Daphnia pulex: one gene and its partner. The protein of the gene in region 2 purifies or fractionates together with the protein of the main gene of each other region. This does not show direct contact. Links are inferred from orthologs where the notes say so. Each region holds a gene or a part of one and is shown on either strand. Other genes may lie near its edges.

What was found.
Region 1: the proteins of protein CASC3-like (region 2) and regulator of nonsense transcripts 2-like fractionate together in Homo sapiens (co-fractionation; 3 studies listed by BioGRID and IntAct). This does not show direct contact. The link is inferred for Daphnia pulex from reciprocal best matches to the Homo sapiens genes CASC3 and UPF2.

The regions. Positions count from the first base shown.
Region 1 is NC_060024.1:11,698,141-11,700,899, forward strand, and holds the end of regulator of nonsense transcripts 2-like, read right to left. Parts: coding exon 2,582-2,759; intron 2,507-2,581; coding exon 2,327-2,506; intron 2,262-2,326; coding exon 2,070-2,261; intron 2,006-2,069; coding exon 1,943-2,005; intron 1,875-1,942; coding exon 1,487-1,874; intron 1,425-1,486; coding exon 1,186-1,424; intron 1,121-1,185; coding exon 1,028-1,120; intron 1,007-1,027; exon of another isoform or gene 940-1,006; coding exon 826-939; 3' UTR 687-825; coding exon of another isoform or gene 595-686; 3' UTR 519-594; downstream 1-518. Other genes in the region: cationic amino acid transporter 2-like, read left to right, coding at 1-118, 178-344, 405-513, 595-686. UniProt on the Homo sapiens protein: Involved in nonsense-mediated decay (NMD) of mRNAs containing premature stop codons by associating with the nuclear exon junction complex (EJC).
Region 2 is NC_060026.1:13,506,323-13,510,601, reverse strand, and holds the start of protein CASC3-like, read right to left. Parts: upstream 2,803-4,279; 5' UTR 2,415-2,802; intron 2,399-2,414; exon of another isoform or gene 2,120-2,398; 5' UTR 2,073-2,119; coding exon 1,983-2,072; intron 1,916-1,982; coding exon 897-1,915; intron 828-896; coding exon 657-827; intron 587-656; coding exon 1-586. Other genes in the region: beta-1,3-glucan-binding protein-like, read left to right, coding at 3,287-3,483, 3,537-3,671. UniProt on the Homo sapiens protein: Required for pre-mRNA splicing as component of the spliceosome. Core component of the splicing-dependent multiprotein exon junction complex (EJC) deposited at splice junctions on mRNAs.

The DNA.
Region 1 (2,759 bases), on a different chromosome or scaffold from region 2:
TACGTGTCCGATTCCTCAGTTGAAAGCCAGACAGTGTTGAGACAGATTTTCGTTCAACGTGGACGTCTACCAACCGGATTCAGCGGCAAAGTTGCTTCCTGGCTCACTGTTGTTTACGGTATTTCCCACTAATTTCTTTATAGAAGATTTTATTAATTATCTATTAATTATCTATAGTACTGGTTGCAATCGCACTTAGCCTCAGTCTCTCTTACACGGCGGATAACCTCGTGCAAAAGGAAACGTGGGCTCTAACTTTAGTTGGATGTCTGACAACTATTTTACTGATATCACTGGTGGCCATCCATCGACTGCCGCAATCACCCAACCAGCTTGCATTCAAAGTACCATATTTCTCTCCCAAAATCAGATTTCGCTTATCTAATCAATTGAAATATAATTAGGTCCCTCTAGTTCCATTGCTGCCAGCTTTGAGTATCTTGATCAATGCGTATTTAATGGTGAATATGAGGATGGTTACCTGGGTTCAATACTCCATTTACATGGCCATAGGCAAGTTGAAAAGGGAAAAAAAACAAACAATTCTTGTATTGAACTTAAACAGTAATTATTTGCTTGCTTCATTTCTGTCAGGTTTATCTGTTTACATTGTTTACGGCTGGCGAAACAGCAAGGAAGAGACACGTATGCAGGGAAAATACGACGTCAATTATGACGTAAAATAAACCTATGTCTCGTCGTACATCGCTTCCGCAACCCGTGGATTGTTCCGTGATATTTCTGGATCCCTTTTAATTTTACTTATTTGCTCAAAAAAACTAATCAAAACTCTGAACATCGCCCCTGGGGGACGGCTGAATTATTTCACCGATTCTTTCTCGCTCCTCCAAATATGAGCTCAGCGTCCGGAACGCCTTTGGGATGCTGGAAACGACCTCGGCGATCGCGATTGACGTTGTGAACAGCTGGACGATTTACCTACAAACATAAATATTTTGTTGTAACTCCAAGTCAAATGTATTTCAATAAATAATATTGAGAACTTTCTGCATTTTTCATCACTTACTCCGCCGTACAAATCCTGGAACTCTTCTTCTTCCTGGCGTTCATTGAAATCCAGTGTCAACTTTTTGACACGTTCCTTCTCCGCTTTTTCGGCCTGTGTCGCGAGTCAGAATAGAAATTAAACCCCGTCATTTAAAAAAGTCAAGTGGAAGACAGTACCTCTTCACGATTCCGTAGGTTCTGTGCAAGTTCAGAGTCCGAAGGCACTGCCAGATTCTTGAACTGTGGCTTATTGCCTTTACGCGTCATTAGGAAGAAATTCACCGTAGGATTGTCATGGACTGCTGAAGGAGGAGACGAAGCGATGGCGGCACAGGCAGAAGAAGCTTCAGCAACTGCCAAGGCACCTCCCAATTCACCTCCAATGGAATCGCCCAGAAAATTTTTATCCGATCCATCTGCAACGCGCCAAGTGATTGATTAATAAATGAACAGCTCGGTCCTTTTTTTCTTAACGCACCAGGTCTTTTGAGCGATGCCTTAACCTGCCAAGGGATGGCAATATCGACGGCAGGTGGTTTGCTGACTTCCTTGCCGCGAGTGTATGCATCGTGAATGTTCTCGGCCACCATACGATCTAGAGCGGCCATGAAATCGTCATCTTCGGGACAAAGCGCTTTCCGAGGTGCTGTCACCACACAGCGGTCGTCCTGTAACAAATGACTCATATTAGCATCCAACCATTTTCTAGCATTACAAATTCCACTTGCTTCGACGTTGTGCGTGTCTTCGTCCGGTTGGGTGGTTTCACCACGTGTGGTCATTTGAGACATGGAACGAGAAAGCGATTGCTCATCATTGATAGAGTCGTCGTCCAATTCCCGCATTTCTTCGCCTTCCTCCATATCCTTTTTTAAATAAAACAATTTCCAATAATTTTAATTTTTTCTTTGCTTAAGTTCCTATTGAACATTACCTCTTCTTCGATGCAGGCCAAGGTATCATCAGCAAGTACCACGTCCATCTGCAATTCTGGCATCTAAGAAACATAACGACACAAGGTTTAATTTTAAATTCAAAATCCACAAAGTATGGATAGTTACAGCTTGTGAAAGTTTATTCATCAGTTCCTTCTCCAGATTTTCCACTGCATCGGCAGCTTCTTGCAGGGTTTTATAAGCTTTCAATTTCGGACGCAGGGTCAACAGCATGTCCTTAATGCCAAAATCAATTGCTACTGGAAATGGATTGTCATCAGTCCAGATCGGCAAAGATCTTTTGAACAAATAGTAGTACTAAACACAAAAGGTCGCCATTAATCAAAACTGTAAACAGACTATGACAGCTAAGCATTAGTTACCTGCAGATAAACCAGGTAATAGTCCAACCGTTTTTTAGACAATCCCGAACTGAAAAAGACTCCGCATGTGTCAAGGATAGTCAAGACTAATCGTAAACGCATAAGGTTATCTGGTTGATCCAAATCCGATTCGATATTATAATCGAAACTGACTGCGAACGTGATGCAAGTGTACAGAACCTGCAGATATTTTTTTATGTCAGCAATTTTAGTTGCTGGTAAAATAGAAAAAACAAATTAAATAATGTGCAATACTTTGAAGACGACCGATGATTCAACCATGCGGTAGTTGTAGAGCTCGGCCAGATATTTTGCCATGCTCACGCGCCTTTGATTGAATTTCGATATGGGAAACTCTAAACTCCATCTTATATCCTCCAAAACGGCATCGACTATCCGGTGACCAACGAATTCCTGATAGAGTGTCAACTCG
Region 2 (4,279 bases):
TCCTCCACGAGGGGCACCGCGAGGAGAAGCTTCTGCTCCCATTGGTCTTCTGGGGCTTCTAATATTTTCTTTGGGAGGTTGGTCAGCAGACTGTTCTTCATCTCCTTCACCAGACTGTGGCACACTGTCACTTCGGGCTCTAAGTCCTTTGGCTTCTCTCATTTCTCGACGCTCTTCGAATGTTCGTCCGCCTCCTCCACGTCGATAAGAAACAGCGTTCGCCTTACTGTTATTGCTATTGTTGCTGTTACCACCGCCGCGACGTTCGTTGCCTCCAGTCATTCCAATTCCTCTTTCACCTTCTCTCCAATTGGATTGGGAAGATTGCTTTGGGGCAGTCTCTCCCTGGGCCTTGGGCTCCTGTTTGCCATCCGATAATGCGGGGAATTCATCCTTTTTGGGCATTTCTTGGCGCTGCGTGCGCGGACGGGAATCGGGATTGCGTTCAAATCCAGAGCCACGTTCTGAGGGACCACCTCTTGAGGCAACACCACCACGTCCGCGAGGCCGAGAATAAGCATCTTCATCTTCCCATGTACGATCGTACTTGTTTGGGCCACGACCATAACGTCTGCGACGGCGCGCCCTGTAAAAATAGATTCCCCAGACGGTTAGTAAAAACAAGTGCTTGCTAACTCAATAGACGTGCATTATACCTCGGAGCTCCTTCTTCCTGGCGAATGTCGTATCCATAGAGATCAACCAACTCTTGATCACTCTTGGGCACTTGCTGATTTGGGTCAAACATATCATGACCCCAACGATCGATGGCTTCACTTCTCGTCTTCTTCGGCTTTTCCACCTCTACTCCGGCTACAGGCTCTTCACTGCAAAAATGTTAAAAAATAATATTATTTTAAATGAAACAAGTTAAAGGGGAAACTTGTTATAATTACGCAGCTGCCTCTTCAACTTCTTCACGATTTCGGTCATCGTGTTCATAAAAGCCACCTCTTTTTGGAATATATTGAGGGTTTCGACGGTCTTCATCATCATCTAACGGCTTGGCTGGAGCATCTTCGTCGTCACTTTCTTCTCCATCGCCTTCTTCCCGTTCACCTTCTACAACCTCTTCTTCTTCATGTTCTCCTTCAACTTCTTCGCCTTCTTCATCTTCAACTAGCTCACCTTCTTCGTTTTCACCTTCAACTATCTCACCTTCTTCGTCTTTACTGCTTTCAGGTTGTTTTTCTTCCACATGAGACTCTTCTTGCACTTCCTCTGTTGCTCCAACTGGTGTTTCCACCTCTTTGTTGCTCTCTACTTGAATTTCCTTGGTGGCATTTGAATTGTCAGCAGTCACTACTGTGTCTTCTACCTTAGCTTCCTCTTCGACTGTTTTAGTTTCTACTGCTGACTGAGATTCATGGGCTGTGACAGGTTTTTCTTCTCCAACTTCCTCGTTTGGTTCAGTAGCTTCACAATTTTGATTTGAGTTTTTGGAATCTTCGGGTACCAGCTTTTCTTCTTTAGGGGTTTCTGGTTGTATCTCTGGTTTTTCCTCTTTCTTGCTGTTCTCAACATGTTCAGTGACAGCTGGAGCTTCTTCCGCTTTACTAGGCTTTTCTATTTCTGTTTCGACTTTCGGGGTGGATTCTGAAGCAGCAACATTGACTTCTGCTGATGGCTTTTCAACTGCAACTTGGATTGTTGCTGAGGTGTCCTGCTTAGCCACAGCAAGATCTTTTTTTGCTTTTTCAACTTCATCCCTAGCTCTAGCCGATTCCTCTCTTGCTTTGTTAAGCTCTTCTCTGGCCTTGGCCAACCGATTTTTGGTTTCTTCTGAATCTCTTGTGGCAGACGTGATCACCTCTGCAGAAGCTTTGGGGGCATCTGGAATCGTCTTGTCTTCTGGTGTCTCCTCAGTGGGTTGACTGGCAACTGCAACGTCATCTGTCACCGCTTTTGATTCAGCCTAAACAGACAATGGGAAATATTATTGGACATTGTTTTGGTTGTCAAATTAACACAACTATTTTCACCTGTGGATTGTCACCGCTGTTAGTGCTTTGCTCAGCCGAGTCGGCATCTGCCACACTGGTTACACCACGCCTGCTGTCGTCGTCGGCCATGTTTTCCGGTTGAATTGTTTGTTTATACTGAAAGCCCCACCCAAATCCTAAGAGTTGAGCACTAAATATAGTGAAATTTTTCTACAGTCATAAGTAATATAGCTTTAAAAAGTAATTGCTTGACGAAATAGATTAGAAAGTGTAGATTACAGATGAAAGTCGCCTAAAAGTAATACGGGGCTGGGAAAAACATTGCCAGATCGACCTTACAACACAATCACTGGCTTGTTATAGAAAATCAAGGTGCGGAGGACTGCGGACATTCGGAGCATACCAACAACCAACCCAAGTTGTTGGGTGGTTGGCCCTTTTCAGAAAAAAACAAAAAAGTAAATATTTTACCTTTCTTTTTTTGTATCCTCTTTCGTCGATAGCTGTAGGCTGATAACGCTATCGTTGCCTCGCAGTGTTTCTCTCCTTATTTAGGTTATGTTATTTACTCGGAGTCGGAGCGTATAAACATGTTAATTAAAGTACTTTCAATTAAATTTCATACTTATGAATATAGCCGGATTTATTATAGTGTTATATGTGTTCTTAACCTTCAGTACAGAATAACAGTACCAATAACTGTTTGGCAATTCCGGTGGCTTACCGGATATTGTTTCAAAGTAAAATAACAGACAAGAGTCGGGGGAAAAAAGAACGTTGAACCCCTTTACTTACTGGAAACTATTAGTCTATTAACCACTACATCACACACAGAATTTGTGTTATTACGTAATGCTGTTCCACATTTCAATCACGTTTTTGTCACGTCGCGATCACGTTCCTTCCAAGTCCGCTTGACTACATTTGAATTGATTATTTTTTATTCAGTTCAAGTATAGCGGTACTAGAAACATACCACGGTGACGAGGAAAAATATTTTTTAATTGACATTGGGAATAAATGTAAAACAGTAAAAAAAAAAATAGTTCAGTTTTAAAAATGTTTGAATAACCTAAGCTGTATTTTATTTCGACTTGAATCCACCCGGATACTCGTCGTTACAAACAAAAATCCTTTACACCATATTTTCAAAGGTCAAAATATTTAGCATCTTGCGGTCAAAGTGTAATGAGTCTTGCTTATGTCATGAATTGATAAAAAATATTTTCTGATTCAAATCCTATATGTCCTTGTGGTAAAGTATAAAAGCTATGTTACGTTCATTCTTTAACCGGTAACAGTCAGAATTATAAATATTCTCCTTACCGTTCACTGCCAAAGCCATGATGAAGCTCTCTATTATCGCCCTTTTTGCTCTGGCAGTTTGTCACGGATCTAGCATTGACAACCAAGCGCGCGGACCAATCCTCTGGCAAGATGATTTTGAATTTCTTGACACAAACAAATGGAAGCACCTAATTACAGCATGGCGAGGGGGCAACAGTGAATTCCAATATTACGACAATCTACCCGAAAACAGGTATTATTTTCAAATTGAATTTCAAAATGGAAATAACTCATTTCAATTTAAAGTTACGTTCGAGATGGGATCCTATACATCAAGCCAACATTGACAGCGGATCGTTTTGGCGAGGCTTTTCTGTACAATGGCACACTTGATTTGTATAAGGAAGGCTGCAATGTGGACATCGATGGCGGTTGCTATGTGTAATTATTATCCCTGAGGGTAGTACTTGTACTACCAGAAGGCATTAAAGTAAATGCGGGTGTCTGGGTGTGTAGGAGGGGGAGGGATGTGGGGGGAGTGTACGCTGTTCTGGGCCAGGCTTCCAGAACCTTTAATTCAGAATCAGAATAAATTTATAGAAATCTAAACTACTGCATCGATTTTCTTCAAACTTTTTGTGTAAACTTACAGTAATTTATCTCAGCGGATAGGTAAGTTTCGATTCATTTGGTAATACTAAATTTTATTTCATTTTATGCGGATTTAGTCATTAGCTTTTTGTGACTTAGGACAACCACAAAATCCATTAGGTTGTCTGTTGACAGTCTGTTGATGTCTTGTTCAGTAAAAATAAATTTCGTCAACAGTTTTGTTATTGTTACAGGATATTGTTTCTCTTTTAGAGAAGTTCAGTGGAACAAAGGTATTTTGGTGTGTGCTATTCCATTTAAGAAATGTTCGTAAATTCATCAATTATGCTAGGCAATATTTTGGGATGAACAACTCACTGGCCCCATTGGTTTGGTGGCAGAATACAGTTTTCTTAAGGAACTAGATGTTGTAAAAATGTTTCAGTTAAAACCTGGGC